Caenorhabditis elegans: one gene and its partners. The protein of the gene in region 3 purifies or fractionates together with the protein of the main gene of each other region. This does not show direct contact. Each region holds a gene or a part of one and is shown on either strand. Other genes may lie near its edges.

Region 1 (7,598 bases), on a different chromosome or scaffold from region 3:
TTTTAGACGAACAATCACTTGAATCACATTTTCTCGTCAACTCCGGAAGAAATGAAAGAATATTTGGATAAATTGGACAGTGGAACTTTTAATTTTCGAGAAACAGCCGAGGAACAGAAATCGGTTGATCCGTTTTCGGAAGCAAACCAACCCGCCATTCAGATGTCTTCAAACCAAGAAATATTAGAGAAATGGGCGGTAAGGATTGAATAACTCGAATATTGTTCGAAAATAATAAAAAGTATTTCAGCGCGGAACTTTCGCCGAAAACTCGGATGCGTTGAAACTTTTGCTCGAGCCAACTAACATCGAGGAAGATGCAGTTTTGGATGATCACGAATCAGAGAACATTGTAAACAGTAAGAGTTCGTTCATTTAATTTTTAATATTTCGCTGATAACAGATATTCCGCAATTGTTTATGGTAAACTCAATGGATGCTGAAACACCAAATGACTCGATAATCGTTGAAAACGGAAAGGAAGATCAACTTGATATGGCATATTGTTCGGTGAGACCCCGACAATTGCGTCAGATTCAACTACAATTTTCAGCTGTGCAAGCATGAAGTGGAAACCGGTAGAAACCGAAATACAAAAATTAGGAAACAGACTGAACATGTTCTAGACGCCCACCCAGAATCGGAATTTCTCAATGTAGACATAGCAAAACGCTATGAGTGTGTCCACTGTTTGAGAACTCTTCCTGTGTCGAAATCACCATGTGAACATATTTCTGAACACCACGATAAAACCCACGTGGAAATTGAATTTCGTGACTTATGGTAGGAAAATCACATTGAAGAAATGCTTTTAAAAATTCGATTCAAATTTAGGTCCAATGAGCAAGTGTCAACTTTCAATTCAGTTATGGAAAAATGCTTCTTGCGTCATCTTCCAGTTCCCAGAAGCCGTAGAATTCGAAACGGAAACACCTGGTATCTCTCCGAAAAGGCCTCGTACAGAATTGTTCGAGGAGGTGAAATTATCCATATCAGCACTGTGGCTGATAAAAGCAAAACAGATGTGAGTTGTTGAAAAAAGGTTTTTGTAAATATTTCAAAAACATAGAAATAAGCTTTTGGAGAAAAAATTAATAGAAACTGGAAGAAGTCGTGAAGCCTATCAGTAGAATGAAATGTTTCAGAATGACACAATGTAAGATCATTAGATTTTTCGTGGAAATTGCTTTAGATTGGTGTGAAAATGATAAACATAACAGACGTATAGACAAATAGGGTGAATGACGTTAGAACCCACCCTTCCATTTTCGATAACGAAAAAGGATAGTTAGAGGTTGGCACTTCGAGACACTATTGTCATCAAAAACACATACACACACCGGGACGCAGAACTGACCCGTGTTCGCCTCTTGCCGTGCGATGGAGCATGTTTGCTGTTGTGTGGTAGGGACGGCACTGGGCGCCGGCGACAAATGAAAGACGTCGGATGGCCGAAAAATTGCGCAGGCAAAGCTGATGAGTGTTGACGGGCTTGATGGATGCTGTAAAAATGTTAGAATGAACAACAGGCGAAACAGCGATTTTTGAGTCAAAAATACGGTACCGAGTTTCGACACGAAAAATTTCATTTTAGGAGTACTGTAACTTCAATCTCTCGTTTTTCTCATTGTTTTCCAATAAAATTGATGTGTTTGTTCAAAAAATAGGTTTAAAACAGGATGAAAATGTTACAGAATCGAGATTTTGAAACTACAGTAATCTTTAAAGGGGCAGACCTTGTATTTAAGAAAAATTTGTCGTGTCGAGACCGGGTACCGTATTTTTGGCTCCTGTGCTGATCTTAACGGCTAGGATGTTATTATTCTGACCATGCTATTGCTGATATCTAGATGACCAGATTTCACAATATTCAGTAGTATAGTTGTGCACAGTTGATCAAGTGACACTTATCATTTAATATTATTGTTTCCACGAATTCAGAGTACTGAATTTATCAGCTGTCAGTCTTATCAACTCACATGACCAAAATCTGCAAAATCTGCTTTTTTTTGCAATTACTTCTAAGCTATGTAAAATTACAAAATTTCCTAGAAAACGGGAAATTAATTACCTTTACTGCAACGGACAGCCTGTCGAACTGCTAATCTTCCCAGCATTCTGAAATCTGGAACGACAGAATTACAGATTTTTAGTATATAATTTTGTAAAATCAATGTTATTTTTAGAATGGAAAAGAAAGCAAGCAAAGTCGTCTGGATAATTCTGAACGCGGAAAACCTACACGCTCGATGGATTCAGACTATGATATTTTTGATAATCAGGATGAAACTGATTCTGAAGAAGGTGCTCGAAGCGAGTCTATAGATACAGGAAATAAAGGTAAATGTCATTATTTAGATTAGAATTTTCAGCTTTCTTTTGGATGGTTTTGAAATATTATCGCTCTCAGCATTATTTTGTTTTTTTCCAAATTTTTGTAGGAGTAGTAAATATAGTAAACGTTTGAAAAGAAATTTTTATTGATGATTATAATTTTCGGTGTTTTTAAAACTTTTTTTCAATACAATTTCTTCCAGAAAGGTTAGGTTTTCTAAAAAAGAATTTCTAAATTAAAACTACTCATTTCCAGAATACTCTTATTTAGTGTAGGTTTTTCAATTAATGAAATTCAATTTAACTCCAATCATCACTATCCCAATCGTTTAAAATTGTGAAAATAGTTTCAGAAAGTGAACCTGGCAGTCTTCAGAGCGTCATCGATCTAGAATAGTCTTATCTTAAATGTTCCCCTGTTTTTTTTTCACCATACCCGTTGTACTCTTTTGTTTCGATAATTGTTCTGCATTTAATGAACCTGTTTCTCAAAAAAAATTGTATAGCGACAGCTGAACACGGTAAATATAATTCAACATTGAGCACTTCTTGAAGTTCATCAAAAAATTTACGATTTTCATGTAGAAATATACACAACATACAAATGCCCAAAACATGGAAATAGAAGGCAACTCGGGTAAATGTTTTTGAATAATGAAAAAAATATCAAATAAATATGGTATAAACTAATTAGAAAAATGAGAATTTTCAAAAATTTACTCGTCGTGTGGGAGTGGAACAACTTCTGTAGATGGTGTTGGGTGTCCACCAATGCCAAAGTAACGGAAGGCAGCCAACGTGAGTTCAAGTCCGAAGAAACAGGCAGCGTTTGCAGGGAAAGCACGGAGCATTACTGGCCAGAATCCCTGAAATTTATACAAATTGTAGCTAGAAATCAGGTAAAGTATATATGTATGTAAATGTGTCGAGAAATGACGAAAAATTCACTTGCATCGTCCCAATCGTTTAAAAAAAATCACCTTGAACAGAGCTCTAGGACCCTCTTCGCGAAGAACCTCTCTCAAAACTCCACGGATTCCATCTGGATACTTTCCTTCAGGGGCTGTTTGTAATCGAGATTTGAGAACATCAGCTGGAATACACACTCCCCAATTGGCAATACCAGCAAGTCCTCCAGCCATCAATGTTGCTCCTGGTGACAATGTTCTTTGAGCTCCTTCTCCAGAGAATTTCTTTTTTAGATATTCATATACTGAAAGATAAGCGGCTGAAGCTGGGATGTCTCTGAGCAGAGTGGCACCAGTTCCTCTGTAGATTGATGAAATTCCTCCTTGTTTATATAGTTTTTTGACAACATCAAGTGGACCATCGTAATGAACTCCAGAACCAGCAGATCCAGCTTGCTGAACTTGAAGAAGACACTTGATTCGTTCACCAGGAACCATCACAATTGTTGTGAAGACTCCAGCAAGAGCTCCAGCATTAGCGTTTTGGATGAATGTCATCTCCTGGCCTGAAATGCAAAATGGTAAGATTAATTCTCATATTTTCAATTTATTTGTTTGCCCATGATGATTTAGTACTAACTTGGATCAGTTTGCTGCAGCCATTTTCCAACTGCACATCCTCCGAAAAAAACTGCAAAAAGTGGAGAAACACCAACAAGTGGAGCTGCCATTCCTTTGTAGAGGGCAAAAAATCCTTCTTTGGAAACTGTTCGTTTGACACAATCAAGAGCTCCGGTAAATTGTGGCTTCTCCCCTGGTTTTGGCATTGGCATAGTTTGAATTCGGACTTTGACAGTATCGAATGGATGTCCGACGATTACGGTACATGATCCACCGACTCCTCCTGCGATGAAATTCAGAAGAACGTCCGACATTTCAATGCGTCTGAAAAATAAAATGTAAAAACTTCGATCTGATGGCTGAAATTTTCCGATATTAAGTAAGGTTAATGTAGAAATTAAGTGGTTTTTTGATTTAAGAAAAATACCTGAATCCTGTTATTTAAAAAAAGGGTGATAATATTTAGTTTTGTTCAAGTTAATACATTTCTGAATTTAAGAAAACCCTGTCAGGCCTTGTAAGAAATGTTTAACTTATCTTAACTTATCTTATCAAAGAAAATTGCACTTTAAACGCTAAATTTCGAATATAAAATTTAAAATTGGATTTTTAGGAGTTTTTAAAGAACAGTAAAGCTTTTTTATCCTATTTAGATCGATAGTGGGAACGAATGTTTACGAAGATATCAACAACAAAAGGAAGATAAAAAAATAAGTGAAGAAAATGTTTGTGTGTCCGACCACGTCGTTGCTGTGAGGGTTCGCCACAAATAACAGCCAATGAACACAGAGATTGCTGGACTACTCTCCGAGAAAGAGAAGATAACGAAACGTTATTGAGATAGTACAGAAACCGGGGAGACGCAGATAGCATTCGTTTTTTGCACTTTGCCCTTCAGGAAGACTACATCGTGGCTTATTTGTAGTCTTGGGAGAAAATAAATGCATAAATGTGGTTTGATCAAAATATCGTTCAGGTAAAATGACTAAATTAAGAGCACAAAAAATGAAATCGCAGAATAATTATGATTTAGTATGCAAACAGCAATCACAGATGCAAAGGGAATACAGTGTTGAAAATGTTGAAAAATCTTCAGCGAAATTATCATAGTTTTTCTTTCACTTCCTGCGAGAGAACCTGTTCGTAGGTTGGAGGTGGCGGCAGGTTGCCTGAAGACGTCGGGAGTGTTGGTGGAGCAGATGAAGATGGACCTGGTGGTGGAGCACAGTAGGGAGGGGCGAACGACGGGGTTGAGCTGTTGCCATGCTGAAAGTGGGTATGGTAAAGTTGAAATTTAAAAATGTGTGTTACCGAGTAGAAGTAATACGATCCTGGAGCAGGGGGAATGTTCCTGTCTGGGACTCGGTTTGAGAAGTCTGGTCCGTCGAGGAATCCCTCACAGAAGTTGTCGTAAGCCCCAGGCAGATCGGTTCTTGCAAATGCGACTGTAGTAGTTGGAACCGATTGGAGTTGTTGGCCAGCGGAGGTGAAGTAGAACTCGTTTTGTTGAACAAGCGGACCTTGTGGATATGTTGGCATCGGATAGTGGGCAACTTGCGGAGGAGGTGGAACGGCCTAAAAAAATCAAATTATTCATGATTTAAAGTTAAGTAAACTTACACTTTGCTTCGGATAGCTTGGTGCTTCATTCATTCCACTTTTCTTATCGGTTTTCTTGCTTCCAAAAAGTGGCATTTTTCACTTCTCGTCGATCTCAGAGCAAAAAAAAAGAAATGAAAAGAGCAGCAGCGTGAGAAATGAATCAAGATCGATGAAAGCGCGCTCTCTGCTGTCCACAGATGAAAATGCCTAGCAACGACTTACAAACTCGCTCACTGATCAGTTTTCAGTGCACACACTAATCAGAATAGCACTGAAAAACTTATTCGCGTTTAAGTTGAAACAAGTGGAAGAGAAACAAGTGAAGTCTCGTCCTACGGCCGGGATACACATAAATTTATGTTGAAAAAGGAAAAAAGAGCAGAGAAACAAAGAACAGAGAAAACAGCATTGAGAATAAACAGAACAGACAACGAAAGAGTACTCAGAATTGAAAACCAACTGAATCAACAAGGAAATAATAATACTGCACAACTTAATTGGCCAGCACTACTTTTAGATCTACAATAACCTGATTTTCTGAATCGAAAAAACTGGCGAACATATGTCTTCCAGGGCAAGAATTGCCATGATCAGTGAATAAATCTCTTGTTTCTTGCTCAACATTCAAATTGACTCCAATTTGGCGTCCATTGGCGACTTGTGGTATACATCTTTTCACTGCACTCATTTGAACATCTGTAGAGTTGGTAAATGTGAGTTCATAGTTTACAACTCGATCTTGGTGTTCGCTGGCGTTGAAGAAGAATGTGTTCACTATGTAGTCGATTTGTTTTTTCAATTGAACTTTCTGCAATGAGAAAAAAAACCAATTAGAAAGACAAAAGAGGAACTTACCACTGATGAACCAACTTTCAATGGTACAATTCTTTTCAATATGATCGTTTGCATTGGGAATAACACCAAGAAATCTCTGCCAGCAGTATAGACGTTCCCCTCGTTGAACATGGGATCAAAAAGACGACTTCCTGAGCAATCAACGATCAATTTGCAATTCAAAATAATTTCTTCGTCTCCAAGACACACTGGTTCGCATCTATCAAACAAGGGACAGTTGAAAAGAGTGGTAGAAGTGAAAACATCCTCGTCATCCCATTCAATTCTTGCAGCATCTTCAATAGAAGAACATGCTTCTGTTCTTAATCGAAGATTCAATACTTTTGGTTGCCAAGAGAGCAGCATCATACGGAAGAGTTCAAATGGGATGAAATATGACACTGGCATCACTCTTTCCACAAGCTCTTCGCTGTATGCCATCAGAATATCCGGTAAAACCATTGTTAATTTGTCAACTTTTGTTGTTCCAAACTTCATCTTTATCTGATCCAGGAACTTTTTTTCGTCATCAGAACATGAATAGTCAAGTTTATGGGCAGTATTCTCTAGAAAGCTGAAATAATAAGATGTAAATAATATATTTAATAATAATAGCTTACAATGAGGCAATAGCTAATTCCTGAAAATGACCTTCCTTTGGCGCAAGATCTAGCAATGTAATCAGTGGAACAATTGGAGGTTGGTCGCATTGACAATTATTTTGAATCAACTTTTCGATTCCTGCTTTCATCCATAATAATGGATTCAAAATCTTCCTGCAATTGATCGGTGGGAGCCCAAATGAGTCAGAGTCGAATGGAAAAATTTCTGCACTTTTTACATTCAGATGGAACGATTTAATAAGATTTTCGAGATGGAGTATGACAGAGACTGTAGATGTTCGAATATTGTTGATAAAAATCGGTGTTTTGTTGAGATCAGTTTCTGTCAGTGTTTCCAATTCTGCCCATTTCGACTCATCAAACGGTAGAGCAAGCGTGATTCGAATGTGCTCAAAATATGAATTGACTTTCGATAGGAAAACTTCGCTGAGTCTGTCGGAACGAGATTTCAAATATTCCTGAATGATTTGAAAGTTTATCATGTAAAAAAATCTCTAGACTTACTTGCCATTGAATTAAGATCCCGATAGTCTCTTCAAAGGTTCCACTGCTTGTGAAAAGAGGAACAATTATTTTGTCATTTAATTGCTCGTCGCTGACTTCTTCAAAAAATACATCATCCTTGTCTATTTTCCTTTCGACAAAGTCAATCTTGAGTCTTTTCTGAAGTTTTGAC
Region 2 (8,010 bases), on a different chromosome or scaffold from region 3:
GATAACGACATAAGGAGTAATCATATAAGCATCAGTTGTCACATAGGCTTTGAAATCAAATTCTCCTTTCTCGTTTGTCCATCGATCCATAAAATCTTCGTATCTGACTGAGAGTAAAGATTTTAGATTCAGTTGAACGATTTCAAACTCTCTTACACATTTGTGCTTCAGAAAAAATGTCCATTGGCATGTTGGCAGCAGGGACATCATCACACACAAGTTGTCCTTTGATATGCACGGAAAAATCTGTCTGCTTCACGGCCAGACACGTGGCAATAATACCGGAAAGAACAACAACTAGCTGAATGGGAAAACTTTAACTTCAAAAAACCTAACTATATTACATACCATTTACAAACCAGTTTGACCACTAAAAACTCAGTTGAACTGTATTTGAAACTAAATTTTTCTCGGTGTACGTGTCGATATTTATTTTAAAAAATTGCCACGCATTTATGTTTTCAGTGTTATTTTTCTTTTAGTCCTTGACAATTAATATTAATTGCAATTTCCAACATATCAAATAAAAATCAATGGGTACGGTATACAACACCGCAAACACCGTCACGTCAAGTCGCAGACTTTCAACAGCCGCTCCATTTTTATTTCTTATTTTTCTAGTTTTTCCGTTTATTTTGCGAAATATTATCACTTTTTGATTAATTTTATTGCAAAAATTTACAATTTTCAGTTAATATACTCATTGAAAACACTTTATTAACGTAGCTTATTACGTTATTCCTCCTGCGGTATTTAAATTTGGTTTTTCTATTCGCCACTACTTTTTAAAACGTTATTTTGTTCATCATTGAGTATTCAATTTTCAGAAATGACCGTATATCTCCCTGGCGACGTTATCAATGAACCTTCTTCAAGCGATTCCTCAATCATTGGCTACGGAATTAGTGTACGTGGCCAAACGAGAATTGCCACTCAACCTGGAGCTTTCCACAACGATGATGGAAAAGTCTGGTTAAATGTTCACAGCAAAAGGTAAGAATGATCACGAACAACATTTAAAATCACAATTTTTCTTAAATTCAGATATATACCACAGGAAGGAGACCGAGTAATCGCTATTGTCACTTCAAAAACTGGTGATTTCTTTCGTTTGGACATAGGAACTGCCGAATACGCCATGATCAACTTTACTAACTTCGAAGGTGCTACTAAAAGGAATAGGCCGAATCTAAAAACTGGAGATATTATTTATGCAACAGTTTTCGACACAACTCCAAGAACTGAAGCAGAGCTTACCTGTGTGGATGACGAGAAACGAGCACGTGGAATGGGACAGCTAAATGGAGGATTCATGTTCAAAGTTAGACACGAAATTTACTATTTATTGTAAAATTTAAAAATTATTATAGGTCTCCTTGAATCATTGTCGTCGACTAATCAACCCATCTTGCAAAATTCTTCAAACTGTTGGCAAGTTCTTCAAATTCGAAATCACTGTTGGAATGAACGGAAGAATCTGGATTAGTGCTTCGACTTCTGATGATATTATCAAGATTCACGATATTATCAATAAATCAGAGTTTATCACTGACGAAGATGAGCTTATCACCCTGGTTCAGAATAATTACACACGATCTGTCAGTGATTAAGAATCTTTATCTCAATTTTTAATTTTTCAGTGTAATTCCTGCTATTGTTGATTTTTTTTTCCTTTTGTTGTTGAACTTTTTAAAAATTTAATTTATCGTCTTGTTCTATGTAATATTTCAATTTTCAACGTTTCTTCGTTGTTTTAATATTTATTACTCAATATTCTCAATTCACAATGGAAAATTTTCGACATTCAGTATGGGTGAAGGCTTAGTGGAGCAACGTCAAGCTGACGATAAAGCATCTTGGGATGCTTACTGGAAAGTTCGTGATATCGATTCACGAGGATCCATCTACCCACGATTCCGTTATTATGCCCATAAGGCTTTCGACGCCCCAGCAACTTGGTTCAGAGGTAATTTTTAAAATTCTCAAGTTGGAGAATCATTTAAAGAAGAAGCAGCTTTGAAATTAGATTTAAAACCATTTACAAAATGTAAGAATTGACAGAAAACAAATTTCGTTCAAGTTTATTTACTTTCACCATTTGTTTTAATTCCAAGTAATTGATACTGTCTACGGTTTTATCCAGATTCAAAAAATTTGGGAACTTGTGGTGCAAGTAAAGGTTAATTTCTAATTCCCATATCATTGCTGTAAATTATAATTTTAAACTAGAAAAAAACCAAAGTTATTCGACTACCTCAAGCTGATGTACAGTTAGTAGTTGCAGTTCCACATAATAAATCAACTAGGCAAAACAATCCATTTTAATCTATTCTACTAACTCGTCAGCTTTTCAGAGACTATTGTGCAACCACTCAACAACAAGAACCGTCTACCCTACTATCACCGTCAACTTACACGTGTTCCGGAAATCGACGAATGCGGAGTGAACGACAAGGCCTGCTTCTACGAAGCCAATGAGCAGTACCGTCTTGATAAAATGGTCGATGGATTTATTCTGCAAACCCTCCGCCAACGTGTTGATCGGTGTATGCTTTACAACAATCCTGATCATTCACCATGTGCCAAGGTTATTGAGGATATGGAAGAGAATGAGTTGAATTTCTTCATGAAATACGGAGAGTTGGGAGGAGAATCCGATGTTCGTGATGCTTATATGAAGCAGAAGCATCGAATGATCTGGGAACGACGTCATCCAGAGATTATGGATGAGCGTGCAGCTAAGCTTGCTGATCATAAAGCACGACTTGCTAATGGAGAGTTTGACTATTCATTCTGGAAGAAGGGAATGTTCTATCAAGACAAGAAGAACTATGAGCCACCATATGAGTTCCAAATGAGCAAGTCAGCACTCGAGGGTGACAAGCCATTGTCCAAGGATTGGGAATACTACAAGAAGGTAAATATTCTTTCAAGATTTAATTTTAAAAAAGAAGCTACGAGAGAATCCTGGATCGAAAATTAAAATTTTATATTTTCAGGTCTCACAAGACCCAGAATTCGACAAGGATCAAGGAAAGAAGTCCGACTTCCGTCTCTTCTAATTCTACGCTGTCAATCTTTTCTTTTTCAATGAAATTTTTTAGAACGAATTGTGTTGAGTTTTCTTATTCCGTCGTAACAACTTTTTTTTCTTTTTCATGTTGCGTTCTTTTATTCCATTCAGAAAGTGAATAAATGTAGATTGTTTGATTGATTTATAAAGATTTGAATATGAATTTATGAGAAACGGAAATATTACCAGTCAGCTTTTCTTTTCAAATTAATTTAAATCAAAATTTAACTTTTTTAAGTTTCGGAAATGATACTGACATTTGCACGAAGTCTCTACACACAGGGGCAGTATAACGGAAAAATAAGGTTTTATTTTTAAATTAATTGTTTCTTTTTGAATTTGAGTTTTCAGAGAATATTTTTACTATGTGAGCCACAATGGTTTCCTATTTCTGGACGATTCGAGAATGAAGAATTTTACAGCGGCTTATAAAGGTTTATTTTACAGGAAAAACTGTTAACAAATCGAAATTTCAGATATTCAGTTTCTTAATTTCTTCTACAGAAAGATCAAGGAAAACAAGACGGGAAGATATGAGGTAAAACGCGAAATTTGCGATTTATCAACAAAAATACGGTAGCCGGTCTCGACACGACAATTTTTGTTGAATGAGAAAAGGTGTGCGCTTTTAAAGAGTACTGTAATTAAAAACTGTGATTTCTGCCGGATTTTTTTATTGATGTTTCCAATTCTTTCTATAAAATAATTCGACAGAATCTTAAGTTTTAATCTACAGTAATCTTTAAAGGCGCACACCTTTTCTCGTTTAACAAATATTTGTCGTGTCGAGACCAGGTACCGTATTTTTCACTTCAAAAATGTTGAAATTTCGTTTCTGGGTAATCTGAAAGTGTTCTAGATTTTCGATCAATTCCTATCGAATGCAATTAATTAAAGTTTCATCCATTGAATTGAGCTTAAATACTCAATTAAAAAATCGTGGAGGGAGCTGAAAAAAAATTATATGAAATTTCAGGATACATTCCCGTGGGTAAGCCTTTGTGGAATTGAGCGAAACTTTCTGAGATGCGACGACACTCCACTTGTTTACACGGAACTCGACTCCACTGAAAAAGAGCTCCGAATCGGGCAATCAACCATTTACCATTCGTTTCAAGTAAGATGAAGCACAGATTTTTCAGATCTGTATTCTAAAATTTCAGCCCTCATCACTTTCAATGAATTCAAGCGGCCGTGTTTATCACAAATGTCCGATTGGTGGAAAAGCACTGGTAGCTGACAAATTGACGGATAAACTGTATCGCCGGTTCCGATTTGACGATGACGGCGTTCCAGTCGGATTTCAGTGCGGGGAGCAGATAATTGAGCTTAAGAAATGAAATAAATAATAATTAATGTATATTGTCTGATGGAAAGTATCTAATGAAGTATTTAAAATAAAAATAATGTTAAACGTGAACCCTTTTCAAATTTATTTCCACGCCCTTTGGCGGCCTTTCAAAATCGATTTTTCAAGTTTTCGTTTATTCCCTGATCTTCCGGGAGTTATCTCCTCCACGTTGCATTATGGATGTTTGTAGGATTTTCAATCGGATAGGTCAGTTGCGAGACGTAACATTCTAAAATGAGCTTGTTTGGATGGGTCTTGCCGCGAAAACTTTACGGTAGCATGGAATTTAACGCGTTACCATAAACTTTTGATCGCAACTAGACCCACTCAAATAAATCTGTGCGCCTTTAAGCAGAGAATTAAAATTACAATAAAAATATTAAATATCGATGATCACCCTTTTTCAGTATACTTTTTGGTGGAAAAATCGTTGGGCGATATCTCGAAATTCGACCCATTTGATGTATTGAAGCTCGTCGCATTGTGGGGTGGACGTGTGAGATTTTTTGATAATTGGAAGCACAACCAGAGAGAAAGGCAGAAATGATAGTTTTTCAGTTATGTCTGCTGATTTTCGTGGGCACACTCTGCAATGTTACATATGTGGTAATCTTCAAGATGATACCAGTTGAATGGAAGTGAGTGAAACCTTCAATCTTCCACTCAGGCAAGAAATGCCTTCCTGCCTGCCTCTAGGTCGGTTCTGGCACCAACATGAGTGCCTACCGCGAAAAGTCCACGCCAATGGAAAAGAAAGTAGGCGTTAGGCAGGCAGGCATGATAAACTTGCTGAAACTCTATTTAACAATAGTTAAAGAAGTGTATTTTCAGCGAATGCCAAAATATGTCGTTCTTCGTGTTCCGTTTTGTGCTCCTTATCTACATTTACTACAGTGTCGTTTTTCACTACTACAAGGCCCGGACTCTGACACCTGTTGTGAATCCAGGGGTAAGCCTCCAAAAACAAAGATATGACGTCATAAGCATAAACGGTCGTCCGAAATCAAGCATTTGAGACAAATACTGTAATACACATTTCTCCACGAGGAGTACACACAAAGAACGTAAATCGACACGTTCTTTGTTTTACAGTCATTTCTCAATAAGCTAGAAATTGTAGAGCCTTTTTGAGATTTTTTTCTTAAAATTTCAAATCAAACTTTTCAGACTCCCAGTGACTCATTTTGTATCAAATGCAACAATTGGAAAGGTCCATCAACATCTCATTGTAAAGCTTGTGACAAATGTATCTACCGTATGGATCATCATTGCCCTCATATTGGACAATGTGTTGGAGCACACAATCAGAGCCACTTCTTCCTTTTTCTTTTCTATCTTCAAATTGCAACGGGCCTCTTTTTCTTGATGGCTACAACGTTTTGGATGAAATGGATAGAGGTTGGTTTGGTGCCTGCCTTGTGCCTGCCTATCCTTAAACTAGTAAATTATTAGTCCTTCAGACTCGTAAAGAACTAACTGCAATCCCGGATGATCAATGCTGGCCTCCATATTGTTTTAATAGATATTACTACTTGATTACACGTTCTCAAGGAAGTATGTCTGATGCATTTGAACCTTTCTAACTTCTCAAATTCCAGCCGAAGACACTATGGTTAAATTCGCATTTTTCCTTTTCGTAACACTTCATTGGATTATGTGGGGATTTGTTGGTGTCTACGTAGGAATCATTTCATTTGGATTAACTATGGCGATGAAAATGGTAATCAAATTGGCAACATCTGAACCAATTCAGAATTTCCAGTTTCAAAAGTCGGACGCTGAATCTCGTAAACCTTTCACTTGGTTCACAATCAAAGCTCGTTGGAGAAAATACATGAACTGTCAAGATGAGCCACTTTGGAAGATATTTTTTATTCCGAAAACCCGCAAAATTGTGTCGTATAACGATTATAAGGAGTTAATTATGTAGAATTATTGTAGAATTGTCTAATTTTCTCTTTTTTAATGTGGTTTTTTATATTGAGTTTTTTTGGTTGGCAATAAAAGGAATTGAAAATCGGGTTTTTTGTTGAAAATTGAAGAAATGAAGGTTGCTCAGAATCACTTTGATGGAACCAAAATAACAAATATCATGGGATAGAAATTTCAGAAAATATACTTTTTGTGGAATTCCAATTTGGAGCCGCGCGATTTTGTTAGGGCTTGGTGAGATGGAATGAGCTCGGCTTGTTTTCATATTTTTCCAATGACTAGTTTCTTCCTGACTTCAAGAAAAAACTTGAAAAAAGCAACAATGCAAGCGAGCTCCACCCTGCAAGCTCACATACAGCGTGGATGTTGAAATTGGAATTTGGTAAATGCTGAATTGGTTTTCAACAGGAAATAATGTTTTTTTTTTCTGGAAGTTTTTAAAACCATTGAAAAACGTGTTGACCGCCCTTCTTGAACCGTGGATTTTTTCTTCTAAAAAATCCAAAAAAATTTATCACAAGTTCTCATACTCTCGTTTCTTCCTCGAAGCGATGAGCACGACAAAATCGATAAAAATCAATTCAAATTCAAGTTTGACGGAGAGCAAGAAGACAACCATTGATGATGAGGACGAGCTGATTTTTCGAAAATCTTCGGATCCCGAGCCGTATCAACTGGGAAATGCTCCAGAATGTGTTTATTCTGGATGGAATATTTTCATTGGAATATTCCTCTTATTCACTACGATCTTCTTGGCGTGAGTTTCAATGAAACTGTTATTTTTTTACTTGGAATCTTTCAGATCAGGATCGGTCGCATCTATTGTAACTCAATGCTTTGGACTGGCTTATGTAAGTTATGAAAAGTATGGGTTCGTTCCACCAACGTTCCGCGACCAATCATGAGGCGTCACAAAAATAGCTGATTGGTCGATACTTTTTAAAATAAAAAAAACCTGCCTTGTGCCTACACGCGTTCCTACTGCTTAAATGAAAGCAACTGTAATAAGAAAATGAATAGTAATCCTCCAAAAATAGGCGGTGGGCAGGCACCGGTAGGCACAAGGCAGGAAAGCACGCCTGAAGGCGAGCAGCAAAACTTGATTTTCAGATATGTGCTGGCCTACTGACATCTGTTCTTATTCTCAAGTCGACACGTGTGATCTTTGCGATACTGACTGTGTTCTCGGCTATAACAATTATAATGACTTCTTTGACTATTTTGGGATTCGTTTATTCAATTGAAGGATCTATGCCAATGCCAGAACTTATGTTAAAAAGTGAGTTTTTACTGGAAATACATGCGTAAAATAAATATTTTGCAGATCCAACATTGGAAATAATTCTAGGAGGTTTACTTACTGTGCACATTGGGTTGAATGTCTTCTGTTTCTTTGTATTTTTGAAGAGATCTTTGTAAGAAACATGAGAATTAAATGTTTTTTTTTTGAAAAATTAAAAATTACAGTAAAAGTGAAGTAGCACCGGAGCATGGGAATATTGAAAGAGCAAAACGTGCATCTGCTCCAATAAAATTGGAAAAGGAATCTGGAGAAGTTATTGTGATGGATTATTTTTGAAAGAAGAATAAAGAATTTTATTCAAATTTTATTGCCAATTTCTTCGTTACTGAAAAATTCCACAGTGACACAGAA
Region 3 (9,304 bases):
CTATCGGCCCTTCAAGTGTATGTTCTGATACGATTAGAGACAAGAGACGCAGAGATAAGAAAAAGAGATTATGTAAGAAATGGAGGGTAGAGAAAAATAGATGAACAGACCATGATTGGCCTTGAGGGAAGCCGGAAAATGGCCCGTAAAAAGATGGAACGGGATTGGGGTATAGCAGGCTAGGAATGTCGCGGCTTTTGAATTCGTTCAATATTTTAGAGTGGCAATGAATATTTATTTTTAAAATGTTTTAAGATTAAAAAAAAATAAAAGAAAATCCGAAAATTGTTCAGCATTTGAGAAAATTCATAAAATATACATCATAAGAGCTGGGTCAGTGCTGAAAATACAAGCTTCCTAAATCTCAATAATCCCTGCTACACGAGAATATAATCTTCTACAAATCTCCGTTCAATTAATCTCAATTTCCATTAGGCACGTGCTTGGTTTTTTCCAGTACCCTGGAGTTAATAGAGCTTTTTGAAATCAAAACTCTGATTTTAGTCAATTGAAATTATTACTTACAATTAAAATAAATTTTTACTCTTATGCATTTTGCTCTTATAAATTTTGTAATATGAAAAGTACCGTATCCAATACAGAATTTGAATTCAAAACAATATTAGTATCAAAAGACCGTATCATATCTAAAAGCAAAAAACACGAAAAACATGTGAGAGAATTAAAAAGAATGATGGCGGCAAAGAGAGTGAGGAAAAGAGGGGAAAAGCGAGAATTGATGTCATTTGTGAACTTTGAATCTCTACTCGTAAAACGGAATTTGATTCTTTATTGAGCTCGATACGTGGCAGGAGCAATTTAAACTTTCTTTCGAGTATAGTTTGCTTCCTTGTTAGATATACCCCTTGATTATAAAGAAAATTTCATATAAGTAAGAAAACTCAGATTTTGTGAAAAGAAAGAGTTAGCAGGAAAATAATCAAACTGTGACTTGGAACTACAGAGGACATTGTAAATTTGGAAACATTTTCTGAAAAGCAGAGTTTCGGAAATTTTTGAATTGAAAACCTTCACCAGATAGAATTTCTCGTGTTTTATATAACAGATTTTGCAGAAAACGTATTTATTCTTTCTTTTTCCAGTGAGTGTTTTAACACTTAGTACATGGAAATGCTATACGCATCAAAACCAGGAAATGAAGTAGGAACTGGAAAATGTTTCTTGCTCTCTAAACATTAAACATCAATCCTCCATTGGACCAGAATATAGAATTCGAAGATCAGAGATCACTTTTGCAATTTCTAGATTTTGGTCAAGAAAAGTGAAAGAACGGAAGACATCAGTGTTCAAACGAAGTGGGAAAGTAAATAAAAACAAAACAAAGACCAAATGATTGTAATGCTTCTGATGGGTTGAATAGAGAAACTATATTCTCATTTACTTTATAAAAAACAAATATCTTAGAATTTTGATAATGTTTCCTATTGTTTTCCTAAGCAAAAGCACAAACACAGAGCACACACAGCAGTGACGTCATTTTCGACACGAGTCACTCGCGGCACTAGAGAGACTCTAAAGATTAAAATAAATTTTCAGTAGTACGGTAAAACCCAAACGTGGCAATATAATATGAATAAAACCCAAAGTACGCATAATTTGAAAAGTGTGCGTGGGGTAATAGAGAGAATAGAGAAGCTGTCCTTTTTCTCTTGAAAAAGAGCAAGTCCTCTTTTCTACATCGTCCTTTTTCTTCATCTTCTTCCAGTTTGTCTATCTTTTCTGCGTCTCTTCACTCTCAACTCCCCCCACTTTGTCGACCACGGGGTATCCCCGTTGGTCTTGTGAAAGTGAGATAGTATTGTGAATCGAGATATCACTAGAGAAACTGAAAAGAACCCCACGCGAGGCACAGAGAAACTTCTCCGGACACTCTTTGCTTTTTATTGTCTCTAGCCGTTTCTCTGCGTCTCCAGGGTTCCGGTGTATTCTATGAGGTGTGTGCTGGCTCTATGCCAAGTCAAGGAATCGAAAAAGCTTTTGAATTCCAAATTTCTAGTAATTTATCATTCAAAAAGGTGAAAAGTAAATAAGGAAAGTTCAGAAAACCAAGAACAAAAATACAAGTAAACAATAAAAATATAAAAACCCTTTATTTTCGCATTAAATTTTCTCTCGGATCGATTCTTCCTCTACTTACTATAAAATAAAAATATGAATACAAAAAAGAATTAACACATAATAAAAGGCGAACCGATTTGTGATTGAAGAATCAAATCGAAAACAGAAAATCGAAGACGACGACGACAAAAATCTACGAAATCTACTGAAAAAAAACAGCTTGGAGCGATGAGAATAAGAGATGGATTTAGTGATGATGGTGCACATAATCCGGATCGTATGAATCCGAATCCAAATCCAGCGATGTCTCGTGAGATGTCAAATCATCATAGTATGCCTCTCGGAAGTAGTATTCATACCTGAACAATAGAAAAATGTTAATTCGAAAAAAGAATTTTTTATAAAATTGAAAGTTTAGCTATACGGATTTTTAAAAAGTACAGCTTTAAAAAAAATCTTATGCTGTTGCTTTTGAACTTTTTAAAATGCAAATAACATAAATAAGAATTCAAAGGTGGAGACTATTCGAATTTTTGCTTCAAATGGTAGAAAATAGACCGTAATGTCCGAATATCATATATTCATGATTCATTTATGTGGTAATTCAAAAATAATTTTTAACATTTTTGAAAATTGAAAAAATTTATAATTTTTTTGTTTTCGGTATTTTCGGTTCATTTTCTATTACTTAAAGCAAATTTTCAAATTGACTCTACTCCACCTTCAAGTTAAATTTCAAATATTGAAAACAACTTACCATGGTTCTGGAAGATGGTGTCCAGTGTGCCATGCATTGAGTCCTGCTTGATGATCACCATTCTTGGCAATATATCCATAGCCATATGGTGACTTGAGAACCTCTTTACGCATTACGTGAAGGAAGTGTCCAGTATCACGTGGATTTGTGTACAGCTCTCCAACTTCGTGTTTTGGAATTCCATCGAATGCAAGCATACGGGCATCGTATTTATTGGTGACACTAGAAGATATTATATATTATACAATGTGGATGAAACTTTTAAAATTCAATTAAAATACTTTCTCAATGTTATATCAGGGCTGTAGATTTTTACGATATTCGTAAATCGTTTTTTTCGTGGTTTTTACAAAAATCCATTTTTTGCATTTTTTTTTCAAAAAAAAAACCGAAAAATTCTGTTACCCTGTCGCTGACTGAAAAACACATACTTGTTTGTTTTTAATTTATGTCTTTCAGTATATCAAAATTAAAAATTGTGTTTTTTTGCTCTTTTTTTTGAATAAAGCGAAATACATTTTTTTTGCTAAAAACACAAAAAAAACCAAAAATCTTTTGCCTTGATGGGGACACAATTTCGCAGAAATCATTTTCTGTCCATGTTTGCAAAATTTAAAAATAAAAAAAAAACAAGTTTTGGCCAGTTTCAATTCCTAGAATGTTAAATTTCCTAAAAATTTTGATGGCTTTTTTGTTGGTATTTTCAATAAATTAATCGTTTCGTTTTATCAATGAAAATGTATGATCTCGAATATATTTCTCAAAAAAAAAACTCACTATTGTCTCCATCCATTCCATCCAACTGAATCAACAATTGTATTCCACTCTTCCATAACATCACCACTGTGCCATTCAAAGAAGTCCAAGTCAAGTCGTTCGATATCCTTTAAAAATTATGTTTTTTTTCTTTTAAGAATTTCGAACTTTTCCTTACCTCAACAACAGCATCCGTGTCTCCTGGTTTTGTCCAGTCATAGGCAAGAATCTTCGAGTGATTACGGTATTCACGAAGTGAATCCTTGTAAGACTCCTCAATTGTTTTTAAGTAACGCTCGTCAACTGTTGCAATTTCGTCTGTCTGAAAATTAATAAAATTTTGAATATCTTTATGAGAAATCTAGCTTACGTTTCCTCGTCTCTTGATATTTTCAAGGCATTTATTGGTTGGTGTATTCAAATAAACAACCAAATGAGGCCAGAAATGTAGTTGAGGAAGAGCATTTTTACGGACAAAGTAATAATGCTTGAAGTCTAGAAACAATTATTTTGAAAGAAAATTCATGAATACAATAAACGTACATTCATGTCCAATATAATTCTTATCTCTCATTGCATTGGCAAAAACGAAATCCGAATGTGGAGTACGTTCGAGCACAACTCCTTGACCGGTATTGAGAATATGAGCAAGTGCGTTGAGATATTGATCGAAACGGCAGTTGAAAATGCGATCTTGCATGGCAGCTGAGAGTTCACCACTTGGATTCTTATAGAACATGGAAATGTCTGGAAGACGGTAACGAGCTGGGAACTGGAATAATATTACATTTAAGAGTTAGGTTGAATTATTATTTACTTTATTATAATAATTGCGAAGATCATTTCCGTAGCGATCGACGAGAATATCGTCCATTCTAAATTCTGGGAAATGAACGAAGCCGAGTTGATCAGCAAGTTGTTTGGCTAAAGTTGTCTTTCCGGATCCAATATTTCCTTCAACAACGATAAGCTTGGAATTTTGATGGAAATGAGAACGAGTGTCGTCTTTTAATCCATCAATATAATTGAATCCATTGTGCTTATAGTCCCATGGTTCTGGATGTTCAGATGGAAGTCTTAGAAGACTTTTATGAACAACTCCTCTGACTTGATTTGAGAGTGCTCCTGATCTGGAGCAGGCCAGCAAACCGGTTGCCAGCCCTCCCAATTTGCTCATGGAACCCGGCATGATGGTCTTAACAAGGAACAAGATAATAAGATTAAATTGGAAAATGAACAAAATAAAATATTAGAATAGGTTTGAAAACCATTAGAAATAAATTATTCTACAGAAAATATTGCAATTGAAGCTTTATTAGAATCTGCCCTCGAATAGTTGAACTTCTGAGCAGAAAAAAGTCAATAACTTAAAAATATAAATTAGAAGATACCGTTCAGGTTTGAAAAAGTGTTTAGGAATACAAAATGATTTGAGAGGACGAGATAGAAAGCAGAAGGAAAAATCGGTAAATTTCAGATCGAAGGATACAAAACAAACATAAAAGCGAGGAAAATCCACAAGGCCTTTGGTTTCAGAATCAACGGCGATCACCATATCGACCTCCACCACCACCTCCGCTACTTCCACCACCGCTTCGATATCCACCACCGGATCCTCCACCTGTACTGTATCGGCTTCCTCCACGGTCACCTCCTCTATCACCTCCTCTATCACGATCACCTCCGTATCCACCACCACCACTTCGATCATTGAAACGATCACGGCCTCTGAAAATATTAATTAAAACAAGTGAAGAAAAATACAAATAAGATGTCGAAATCTTATAAAAACTAACCCTCCACCGAATCCGCCACCTCCACCGCGATTATCTCTAAATCCGCCCGATGATTCTCGTCGATCACGATCATTTCCTCCACCATTACGGTAAGAATCTTGACGTCTATCCCGACTACCACTTCTTTCTCTATCTCGATCCTCGTACCCACCTCCAAATCCAGACGCAATTTCACGTTCTTCAATGACTGATTTAGCTTCGCGAGTTTTACGAGTATCTCCTTTTCCACCGCCAAGTCTTCTAGGCAACCATGTCTTCTGAGTACGACCTCTTTCATAGTCGACAACTAGACGTTTACCATCAACTTTGATTCCGTCAGCTTTTTTGTAAGCGGCTGAAAATAATACTCGAATATTATGTTCAATAAGGAATAAGGTGAGAGAATACGGATTTGTGTGTCTACTCAATAAATATCTTACCTAACCTACCAAAAAAGCGCTCACAGGCCTCCATGTCATTCGCGGAATTGACTACTTACCCAACCACTTACCCGCGATTCAGAAAATGTGTTAGACTTCAAACTTACAGACAAAACTTACGGGAAAACTTACAAAAAGCGGCAAGAAACTTACAAAAATAATCCCAAGATGATTTTTTTGATGTTTGTGAGGAAAACTTACAAAGCGTGTACCTTACCCATTCAAAAAATAAAAAAATAAATCTGAATTCTTGGATTTTTTCCTAATCTAGTAGCCTAAATGAAATTCAAAGACCTAGTACTAAAAAAAGAGTTTATATCAGAAATTTTCAGCTTAACAAATTAATAAAGTTTTTAAATGCGATAATATGCCTAAAACCTTTTTAGCAAGCGTGCAATTTTAAATAATGTTTTTTTTCTTGGAAAGACTCGTTTCTTAAAATGCTAATTCCTTTTTTTTTTAATTTCTTGTTTTTTATTTGAGCTCACCAACAAACAAACCTATCAGAAATTAATCGATAGGAGAGTTGCGCGCTCTGCCATTCCCATTCATTTCCCAGGATTTCACAATGGCCGCGTGGCTGTAAAAATTACAAAAATAGGAGCGTGTTCCTTGAAAATTGGTTTTTAAAATAAAATTTCTGTTGTTTTTTTGAGCAAAAGGTTCAGCCAATGATTTTTTGTTTTATGACAAACAAACTGCAACCCACTATGCATCTCAGCCTTGTCACTGTATTCGATAAACGCGTAACCACGTGGTTTTCCTGCCTCGTCGTGGACCATTGTTAACTGGAAAAAACAATGAAAGCTTAACTTGGAAGAAACGAGACACTTACCTTTTTAATTTTACCATACGCTTCGAATTCTCGTCTCAACTTGCTTTCAGACGTTTCATAGTTCTGAAAATATAAACTAAAACACATTCTAACATTTAAAAAAACGTGCAATTCGTCCAACGAATAGAGTGCGATATGGATCCTCCGAAGCTCTTGGATTCTCAGCTGGATTCCACGTGGCGATTCCTTGTTCTACTTTATATGCTAACAATTCATCTTTTTGTCGTCTTTTTTCTTCTTTTGCTTCAGCTTTTGTTACTACTGGGATTTTTGCTGGAGTATCTTTCGGATCCTGAAAAAAAAATAGCTTCCAAAATAATAAAGTTACGTTCAAACCTCAAATAATTGAATATATTGAGCAACTCCAGTCATCGGAGCCCTTTTAGCATTTTTGTCCACTAGTAGGTCCTGGCATGGTGGAAGATATTGCACTGGTGGTCGTGCTTCGAAAAGCGCCAGAAGATTGGGAGGTAGAAATGCCGTCATGTCACCTGAAAATAATTTTTATTTATTATTTGAGTTTTGTAGGTACAAAGATTATCGAATAGAAGAGAGAAAATAGTATGGAATGGGAAGATGAAGAACAAAACAAAAGAAGAAAAAAAGTTGAAAAAATGTCTGAAAAAGAAAATAAAAAAGCGATCCTCGGTTTCAGATAGCTGTTCCACGTTCCAAATCGTCTTTGATATCTTCTGTGTACTTTCCATAGTACTTGTCCAGTTTCTTATTGAATTTCTTGTTTTTCTCATTGATGTAATCAATTGGCGCGTCAGGATCATAAAGTCTACGACGATGATATTGTTCTCGTCTTTTAACTTGGCCGTGAACATCTTTAGTGAGCTTATCCATTGCAGCAGTTGTCGGATAGTGATTTCCTGAAAACTCTTTGGTTTTTCTTTGAAATTATGAGTTTTGCTCCTTACCATGAATAAGTGTGTCAGCAGTTGGGTAAAACTGTTCCCCTCCAACGCATTCTCTCATCTTTTTGTAAGAATCAAGATCTGGATCAAGAGCAGCAGTCAGGCGAGTATGTTGACGAAGAGTCATATCTTCGTAAGAAGTAAATCCTTGATCTGGGTTCTTCTTTCTCTTTCTTTTTTGCTCAAGCTTCTCAGTAACATCTGCAGACATCTCTAAACTGCGAACACGTTCATAGTCCAATCCCTTGTCTTCTGCAGCTTTTCGATCTTGTAGCTCTTTAACCTGCCATTGATCTCTTTCCTTTTTTGCTTCGTGGTTTTTTGGAAGTTTGCTGCGACGATCTTCTTCAACGACCTACAATTTTAAATTATAATTGAAAATGTAAACGTTAAAACACTAACCTGTTCGTGATTCTCTTTTCTCGCTCTTTGGCGGAGTTTGTGAAGATCACGGAACCTCTGATTGAAATCCTTCATTTTTGATCCACTGGACGACGGCCCACTGCTGCTCGATTGTGATTCGGAAGACATCTAGGAAAAAGTGTTGAAGAGAAATCCAGAAAGTTGAGAAGAAAAGCTACATTGAAACGGAATACAGAATATTTTGAACATCAGAAAAAGAAGAACCGATATGATTTGAATTCATTTACAATCTATATTTTTTAAACCGATAGTTACATGTTCAAAACATATTAATACTATCCAGCTTTGCGAAACAAAGAAGGCTTTCTTAGAAATAAGCATGGTACTATCGATAAGGAGTTCAAAAATGGAAATAAAAACTTTATTTTCTAGTTGAAAATGCTGAGAATCGAGTCAAAATTGCGAAAATTAATCTGGGCGAGTAGTTCAACACAGCGCACTTGCACAATTTTCTTTTCTCTCCGCTGCGTAGCGGTCGCGTCGCGGTCGTCTAGTCTTGCGCTCGTCACACCGAACGCGTCAATATGTGACGTTTCGGGCCTTTTCTGCTCACTCTGGCGGTAATTTAAACATATTAAAAATATATTTTAATTCAAAAATATTTATAATAGACCATTTAAAAGTACTCAACATTATTCCAATTGTTCGTTCTTGTTGTTTTGGGCACTTTGAGTTTTTTCTTAAAATTTTAATTTAAATTTCAGCTGATGATGTTAATGAACAGTACTGAGATAGTTGACGACAACATGGTAGTCGAAGGATATGAGGAAATTGCAGTGGATGACGATATGAATGATATGAGAGTGAGTGTGCTTGAATCATTAATTTTCTTTATTCAAATTTAAGGAAATGGTTGCAAATGATGAAGATGACAGTATTCACTATGAAGCCCATGATGGAAGCGAATATGGTGGAATGCCAATTGACCAATATCAAGATATTGTTATGTTCAAAACGTAAAAAAAATTTTTCCTGAGTAATATAAATTTAAAGCATTATTCCAGAACGGACCAAGTTCCTGCAAGTGTCTCCTCTCGTCTTGATCGTAGTGCGCCGAGTCATTGGAGAGCTCGTTGTAAATGTTTTTCAATGGCGGACGATAGGGAAACTCTTTTGTATTACAATCCCGAGAAGTCTGCGAATACTATTCCAAAAGTAGTAGTGAAGAAAGGAGAAGTTCAAAAAGTCCTTGAGAGAATTCACGAACTTATTGGTCATCTTGGGCAGAAAAGAACGTAAGTAAAACTACTATAATAATAGCTGACAATTGTTACTTATAGGCAGATGGTCGTGCTTCGGAAACTCTACTGGCGGTCGGT
Region 4 (7,147 bases), 4.4 Mb from region 3:
ACAGATTTGTGAATTCTGTGGCTTTCTCTGCAAAAACTCCTTCTACAATATGCAACGAAAAATCAAATATCCGTTAACAGTGAGATACTCCATTATATAGATTTTCATGTAGCTGTTTTTTACTTTGAAAAGTCTTTTATCATTTGGAAGAAAAGAGAATTTAGAACGAAACAGTAATCATAATTGTTGTATATATATCACGATCATGTGAAGCCGATGGAAATTTGGAAATGGTGTTTTGTAATCTTTATGGACTGCAAAAAGATTGCAAATTAATCTTAGAATATTACACATTTTTTTGTAATATTTTTAGATTTCAGAAAGATTGCGAACCAATCTCAAAAGATTGCTATGTCATCTCAAAATATTACGAATTTTTCGTAATATTTTCAGATTCAGAAATATTGCGAATCAACCTCAAAATATTGCGAATTATTCTCAAAAGATTGCTCAATCTAAAAAGATTTCGAATAAGTCTCGGAATATTGCGATTTTATCTTGAAATATCACCCAACTACAAAAATATTGCTATTTAATATTTTCATATTAGATTTGAGTTGCCTGAGAAAATCAGTGAAAAAAACCACCGAACTGAAAACGAAAAACCCTTGAATTTGGGTCCAGAATTCAGCGCGAGCTTCTGTTTTCGAACGTCTTCAAGGAAATTTTGAATTGTTTTAGTTTGCCGGTTACTCGTCGAGAACGCCAGAAATTCTTCTGAAAAATTGAAGAAAATTATCGATTTTGTTTGTTTGAGGCGGGGAAATTTCTTACGAAGCCGGTCGATTTTCTGCGAATCGACGGATTTTTTCGCTTCCAAATCCGATTTAATTTCCGCCATTAAATTATCGATTTGTGCTCCTTCAGATTTCGATAAACATTCTTCAGTTTGCACTTTTCGTTCTTCATTTCTTTGTTCCAGTTTTGCAATTAATCGATCTTTTCGATCCAATAAAATTTGTTCCGAAGATGCTTCCATTATGCTGAAATCTGGCGTTTTTTTGCGCGATTTTTGTGGCAAAAAACTGGTCTCGCCACGACAATTTTGAGTTTTTTTTTAAATTTTTGATCGATTTTTCATAGTTTTTTTTTCAGATTTTATAGAAATTTATGTGTTTTTATTCTAGTTTCGTTAAAAAAATATGCAAAAATTCTCATAAAATGTGAGAAAAACTATAAAAAATCAATAAAAACCACCGGAACAAAAGTTTAAAACTACAGTACTTTTTAAAGGCGCATCCCTCTTCGCATTTAACACAAATTGTCGCGTCGAGACCCAGGATATAGTATAGTATTTTTGCCCCAAAATTGCTTCTGGGTTAATTAGTTATATTCAAAACGGCTCAAAAGACCAGATGGATGCTGAAAAATGAAAAAAATGAGAATTTTCCGGGAAAAAAATCAATAATTCTTCATTTAATTTACAATAATGAACTAAAAAGAGACTTCGAGAGAATTGTTCAGTCGTATCTGGTGTACTGGGTTCTGCGTGGATACCATGGAAGAAGAACTTGAGAGAATGAACGTCCACTGCCTGAAAAATAAATAGATTCCATGAATTTTTGATGATTTTCTTGCATTTTTCACTAGAAAATCTTCCGTTTTCCCAGAAATTTTGAATTTTTTAGCCAGAATTCCCTTTTTTTCGCACTAATTTCCAAAATAATTACTTAGAATTGCGAAAAAAAAACTGAATTCTAGTCCAAAATTCAAGTTTTCTGTGATGTGTCGATTTACGCAGCTCGTGTACTCCTCGAGGAGAAGATTAAGCTGAAATGCGCCATTTTCACTATTTTTTTTCTGAATTTAACATAAAAATCGGTGATTTATAGTATTTTACATGAACAATGACGAATTTACTGTTAAAAAATACGAAAAAACCGATAATTTGTAGTTTTCCATGGTGTTTTAGGCTAAAATCGGTTTTTCACGCCAATTTTTGCTATTTTTAAGATAAAAATCATTGATTTGGGTGTTTGAATGCAAAAATTGGTCCGAAATCGAGCATTTTAGCCAAATCTTCTCCTTTTCAGCGTTTTTTTTTCGGGGAAAATGTATATATTTTCTGCATTTATCACAGAAAATCGCGAAAAATACGGTATTCTCTGGGGGGAAAAAGCCGAAATCTTTCAAATTTGATCGAATTCAGCCGGGTTTTTTTTTCGAAATTGCAGTAAAATCTGAAAATCGATTTTTCAGCAAATTCCAAAACTCACGATCATTAAAATGGTCGAAATCCTCTGGATGAAGCTTCATGTAGTGCTCGATGACTGCGTCTCTCGTCTGATAGTGTCTCTCTCGAAGTGCTCCGGCAGCGTATCCGGCGGCGGTGGCGGCTCCGATGAGCAAAAGCCGTGGAACAATTGCGTAGTAGTACGGCTTCTTGTTCCATCGATTTTGCAAATAAACCGAAGCCAGCGAGATTCCGAGCATTGCACTGGCACCCTTCAATGGGTAGCTCCATGTGAATGGATCGGCCAGGTGACGAGCTCTGTGTCCTGCGCGAATAAAGGTCTCGCGGCGCTCGATTTCCTTCTCGCTGACGCGAGTTGAGTCAGCCATGGTTTCCACTGAGAAAATTATTTATTTGGGGGAAATATGATTTTTAAAAAAAATGAGATATTTCAAGCGTCTCATAACGCCATAAGAAATAAAAGTGTTTAAAATATTTTACAAGTGACACTTTTTATCGAATATCAGCACTAATAAAACGCCTGTTCTCGAATACAATCGAACAATCTCATTTAGCGATCGAATTTAGCTGGGAAACGTCCCTCGGAAAGAAGCTCGTCCCATCTCTCGGTCCAGAATCCGGGGCAGAAGTCCTTGTAGACATTTTGGAAGAACTTGCACGGCTTGTAGTCCTGTCCCATGAGCTCATTGCAACGATGGAAATCGACGTAGTAGGCGAAGCATTGACGTTGCTTACGGACCTGAAAACTTGTACATTTTTATTATTAATTAATATATAATAAATTTTAAATAAAGTTACCAACCTGTGGGAATCTGGCGTCGTATGGAGCAGCCCAGAGAAGATCCTTCTTCACAGACTCGTGGGTCTCCTTCTTGTACCAGTCTGGCGAGTCTGGATGACGGAGAGCATCGGAGAACTTCTCCTGTAAATTTTTATCGATAAAAATGAAGAAAAACGCTAAAAATTCACCTTGTATTGCTGGAGTCTCTCGTAAGTGGTTGGGGGAACCTCAACTTCGACAGGCATTACTGAAATTGAATATAATTGAAATTTAAACACGGGCGGTTATTTTCAAAGCTCAGAAATCCGTGAAAACCGAATTAAACAATATTTAAAATCAATAAAAATTTTTCACTAAAGACGCTGCGCGAGCCACACACTCCTATACACCTCTCACGCACAAAACGCTCCACAATGGGGTTTTGCGTTGGAGCGCACTTGCTGCATTATTTTTTTACATAACAAAGTTCTAGAAATCAAAACAAATAGATTTTTTTCCAGAAAAATGGCTGAAAACTCGTATAAACCGCCGGAAAAGATGATTAAAAATGTGTTCGACCTGAATCCGTGGTACTTTTCCAAGGTAGAACAGAAATTTTATCGATTTGAAGGATTATGAATGGAAATTTGCAGGCTTACGAGGAGTACCTGGCTTTCTTGCATCGTTTGAATGATTCTGTAGTTGGAGTTCATACAACTGCAGACATGAGATGCACAGACTTGGTTATCAGCTTTATCGACATGCTGGATAAGCTGGAGGTTCGAGAAATTACGGAAAATTACGAAAAACCAGATTTAAAAAAATAAAAAATGGATTTTTTTCAGAAATGGGCTGAGGAAATTCCTCTGGAAGATGTTTCCGAGCAAAGATTTGGCAATAAAGCTTACAGAAAGTTTTATGAGAAGCTTTGCAAGGTTTTTAGCTCAAAAATGTATTTAAAAAGATTTTAAAAATTCCAGGAATCCCCAGATCTCCTAGCCAGCGTTCTTCCGGAAAACGTCCACGATGCTCTAGTCGAACTGGTTCCATATTTCACAGAATCCTTCGGAAACGCCACTCGAATCGATTACGGCTCGGGACACGAGGCGAATTTCCTAATTTTGCTGTTTTGCCTGCAAAAGTTGGGCGTTTTCACAGAAAATGATGACAAAGTGCTCGTTCTTCGCATTTTTAACAAGTATTTGAGAGTGTGCCGTCATCTGCAGACCAGATTCAAGATGGAGCCGGCTGGAAGTCGTGGAGTTCATGCGATTGACGATTTTCAGTTCGCGCCGTTCATTTTTGGAAGCGCTCAGCTTATTGGTAATATGTTGGAGCAACTAGAAGTCTTGAAATTCAGGAAAATAGCTGAATTTTCCATTAAAAACTCAAAAATTCTCAAGAAACCACAATTATTAAGTCGTTTTCCGAAGAAAAACCGACTTATTTTCACAGATTGTCGGAAAATTCTATCTAAAATGTCTTTTTTCACAGTATTTGTTCAAAAAACGTTCATTTTTCAAGGATTTTTCATTCGAAATCATGCATTTTTCCGTTTTTTCGTTGAAAATCATCAAATTTCACGATTTTTGTCGAAAAATCACAAATTTTTGCGATTTTTTTTAAATAAAAAATCAACAATTTTCCCGATTTTTCATTAAAAAATCATCACATTTTTGCGATTTTTGCCAAAAAATCATAAATTTTGGCAATTTTCCTTTAAAAATCATAAGTTTTCACAATTTTTCATTGAAAAATCCTCAATTTCTCCGTTAAAAATCATCAATTTTCGCGATTTTCCTATTAAAAATCCGGGAAAAATCGTTTAAAATCTTCAATCTACAACATTTCCTCGTAGGAAAACTTCAAAAAAAGCTAGTTTTCACTAAATTTCCTGTGAAACTTAAAAAAGGCACCGAAAATGACAAAAAAAAATTTTTCTACAATTTTTCTAGAAAACCCCGCTTAAAAGCATATTTCTGTGAAAATTTCAGAAAAAAAATTATAAAATTTTACTAGAAAATCACCTAAAAATCTAGTTTTCTACCAATAAATTACAAAAAAAAAAACTTTTGAATTTCCAAAGCTTATATAGGCCTGAAATATGTTGAAAAATGCCAAAAAATAGCCAAAAATCCGCTCCAAAATCTTAAATTGTTTCGATTTTCAGGTTCAAAAAGTATCGTGCCGGACAGTTACCTAAAAAAGAATATTGTTGAGACTCACGCCCACACAAGTCTTTTCCTGGACTGCGTAAACTTTATCAATCAAACAAAAACCGGCCCTTTCCACGAACATTCAAATCAACTTTGGAATATCTCAGCAGTTCCACACTGGAAAAAAGTCAATAGTGGAATGTTTAAAATGTATGAAGGAGAAGTTTTAAAGAAGTTTCCAGTTGTTCAGCACATGATGTTCGGCTCTTTATTCTCATTTGATCGATCGGAGCATCCAAGAGAATCTATGGAAGATGCTCCGTCACAGGATCCGATGCCTCCAAGAGCTCCGGCTCAGCATGGAATGTTCGCTTTTAAGGTTAATTCGGAGAAGAAAATGGTAAAAATATCGACAATTATAGAGATTTTAAAGCGAAATTTTCAATTTTTCACTGGAAAAATTGATTTTTTTGAAAAATAAATGGAAAAAATCGAGAAGAAGTGGTGATTTTTTTGGCAGAAAAACCAATTTTCACTGAAAACGCACTAAACCGCTGAATTTTCACCTTCAAACAGAAAATTCTTTTAAAACTGATTTTTGTCAGAAAAAAACGTTTTGTATGGAAAATTACGATTTTTTGCTGGAAGAATTGAGAAATGACCAAATTTTTCAACAAAAGCTATTATAATCGCCTTAAATTTCGAGTTTTCCCGTAGAAAACTTACAAAAAGTGTATATTAAAAGTGTATATAAACCAATGAAACCCAAGATTTTTGTTTCTTTTTCTAAAAATTAGTAGAAAAATTAGGAAAAAAAATCAATTTGTTATGACCCTTTTTCTGAAAATTTGCGTTAATTCTGAAAAAACCACTTTTTTTACAAAAATTTTTTATGGTCGGTCAAAATATCGAAGAAAAAAAAGCCAAATTTTGCTAAAATCTGAAATTTCGCACACTTTTCTTTGTCACAGCCGCTGGATTTTAATTTTTCTGAAATTATCAACCTTTAATCCTTATTTTGGTGATTTATCTCGCGGAAATTCGTTGATCGAGACAACTTTTAGGCCGATAGGCACCCAAAAATGATCAAAATGAGATAAATCACCAAAATAAGGATTAAAGGGTGATAATTTCAGAAAAATTAAAATCCAGCGGCTGTGACAAAGAAAAGTGTGCGAAATTTCAGATTTTAGCAAAATTTGGCTTTTTTTTCTTCGATATTTTGACCGACCATAAAAAATTTTTGTAAAAAAAGTGGTTTTTTCAGAATTAACGCAAATTTTCAGAAAGAGGGTGATAAAAAATTGATTTTTCCATCATTTTTCTCACAAACTCCCCCTGAAAAATCAAATATTATTTCAGATCCCATCCGCCGCCAACACTTCAACCGTCCATTCGTCATCTGTCGTCGAATCTGGAGACTTGCGACGTCTTCACAGTGAGAAACATCCCAACGAGCACTGCCCACCACCAATGGCCGATGCATGATCTCTACTATATTAAAATATTTATTCATTTTCCGTGAAAATCATGACTGTATATCTACATTTGTGCATCAATAAATTGTCTGTGTAAAGCGCTAACACGATCGATTATAAACGATTCGATCTCCAGCTCGGGGGCTCCCGGAGCAAGATTAATCTCCTCTCCTTGCTCAATATTCTTTCTGACGAGAGTTACACGTTGCTTGCGAGTTGATAGCATATTCGCGATGACGAGTTGATGGCCGTACTTGGAGAGAGCAGCTTTTGCCTTTGGAATCAGCTTTGTTTCGTCCGTTTCTAGCTGGAAATTTACGAATTAAATTGAAATTTAGCGGGGGGAAATGGGCATTTTCAACTAATTTTTTGATTAAAAATTGAGAAAAAGCACGAAAAATACAGTAGAAATTGAATTTATGTACTTTTTCTTCCAAAAAAAAAGAGAAAAAACCGTGAAAAAAAAGTACATTGGACATTGAAATATATTGAAATATAGTTTTTTTTTCTAAAATTGAAAAAAAAAACCGATTTTTTTAAAACACCTTTTGCCATTTTT

What was found.
Region 1: the proteins of nuo-4 (region 3) and dif-1 fractionate together in Caenorhabditis elegans (co-fractionation; one large-scale study listed by BioGRID). This does not show direct contact.
Region 2: the proteins of nuo-4 (region 3) and ndub-10 fractionate together in Caenorhabditis elegans (co-fractionation; one large-scale study listed by BioGRID). This does not show direct contact.
Region 4: the proteins of nuo-4 (region 3) and cox-6B fractionate together in Caenorhabditis elegans (co-fractionation; one large-scale study listed by BioGRID). This does not show direct contact.

The regions. Positions count from the first base shown.
Region 1 is NC_003282.8:7,548,688-7,556,285, forward strand, and holds dif-1 (Protein dif-1), read right to left. Parts: upstream 4,188-7,598; 5' UTR 4,178-4,187; coding exon 3,883-4,177; intron 3,809-3,882; coding exon 3,315-3,808; intron 3,201-3,314; coding exon 3,051-3,200; 3' UTR 2,970-3,050; downstream 1-2,969. Other genes in the region: pam-1 (Puromycin-sensitive aminopeptidase), read right to left, coding at 1,358-1,502, 2,072-2,117; oef-1 (C2H2-type domain-containing protein), read left to right, coding at 7-198, 251-359, 404-510, 554-783, 835-1,024, 2,187-2,340, 2,682-2,731; F49E8.6 (Early nodulin-75-like), read right to left, coding at 4,968-5,129, 5,175-5,438, 5,484-5,558; F49E8.7 (BACK domain-containing protein), read right to left, coding at 5,959-6,273, 6,321-6,873, 6,920-7,380, 7,427-7,585. UniProt on the Caenorhabditis elegans protein: Seems to play a role in the maintenance of tissue differentiation in the developing embryo, but not for its initiation.
Region 2 is NC_003279.8:10,517,552-10,525,561, forward strand, and holds ndub-10 (NADH dehydrogenase [ubiquinone] 1 beta subcomplex subunit 10), read left to right. Parts: upstream 1-1,808; 5' UTR 1,809-1,809; coding exon 1,810-1,966; intron 1,967-2,354; coding exon 2,355-2,917; intron 2,918-2,999; coding exon 3,000-3,062; 3' UTR 3,063-3,210; downstream 3,211-8,010. Other genes in the region: nlp-4 (Transthyretin-like family protein), read right to left, coding at 1-107, 157-301, 349-351; exos-3 (Exosome complex component RRP40), read left to right, coding at 830-993, 1,045-1,321, 1,371-1,610; UPF0598 protein F59C6.12, read left to right, coding at 3,320-3,378, 3,425-3,507, 3,550-3,611, 4,050-4,190, 4,237-4,413; dhhc-12 (Palmitoyltransferase), read left to right, coding at 4,601-4,631, 4,832-4,920, 4,983-5,062, 5,256-5,373, 5,592-5,822, 5,885-5,978, 6,023-6,144, 6,187-6,354; F59C6.3 (uncharacterized protein), read left to right, coding at 6,908-7,113, 7,159-7,207, 7,467-7,635, 7,681-7,771, 7,824-7,935.
Region 3 is NC_003281.10:7,154,023-7,163,326, forward strand, and holds nuo-4 (NADH dehydrogenase [ubiquinone] 1 alpha subcomplex subunit 10, mitochondrial), read right to left. Parts: upstream 4,788-9,304; 5' UTR 4,782-4,787; coding exon 4,410-4,781; intron 4,365-4,409; coding exon 4,136-4,364; intron 4,088-4,135; coding exon 3,963-4,087; intron 3,915-3,962; coding exon 3,771-3,914; intron 3,721-3,770; coding exon 3,614-3,720; intron 3,059-3,613; coding exon 2,837-3,058; intron 2,439-2,836; coding exon 2,327-2,438; 3' UTR 2,004-2,326; downstream 1-2,003. Other genes in the region: rnp-7 (U1 small nuclear ribonucleoprotein 70 kDa), read right to left, coding at 5,131-5,320, 5,389-5,722, 6,517-6,595, 6,643-6,705, 6,752-6,934, 6,979-7,128; Pre-mRNA-splicing factor syf-2, read right to left, coding at 7,294-7,517, 7,566-7,917, 7,965-8,093; K04G7.1 (Integrase zinc-binding domain-containing protein), read left to right, coding at 8,732-8,788, 8,832-8,941, 8,990-9,220, 9,266-9,304.
Region 4 is NC_003281.10:2,782,277-2,789,423, reverse strand, and holds cox-6B (Cytochrome oxidase c subunit VIb), read right to left. Parts: upstream 3,223-7,147; 5' UTR 3,221-3,222; coding exon 3,164-3,220; intron 3,117-3,163; coding exon 2,997-3,116; intron 2,934-2,996; coding exon 2,745-2,933; 3' UTR 2,670-2,744; downstream 1-2,669. Other genes in the region: tbcc-1 (C-CAP/cofactor C-like domain-containing protein), read right to left, coding at 593-717, 775-979; nduc-2 (NADH dehydrogenase [ubiquinone] 1 subunit C2), read right to left, coding at 1,461-1,534, 2,217-2,562; Y71H2AM.20 (Serine/threonine-protein phosphatase 2A activator), read left to right, coding at 3,480-3,557, 3,608-3,733, 3,800-3,889, 3,935-4,277, 5,125-5,489, 6,473-6,598; Y71H2AM.6 (DNA/pantothenate metabolism flavoprotein C-terminal domain-containing protein), read right to left, coding at 6,653-6,895.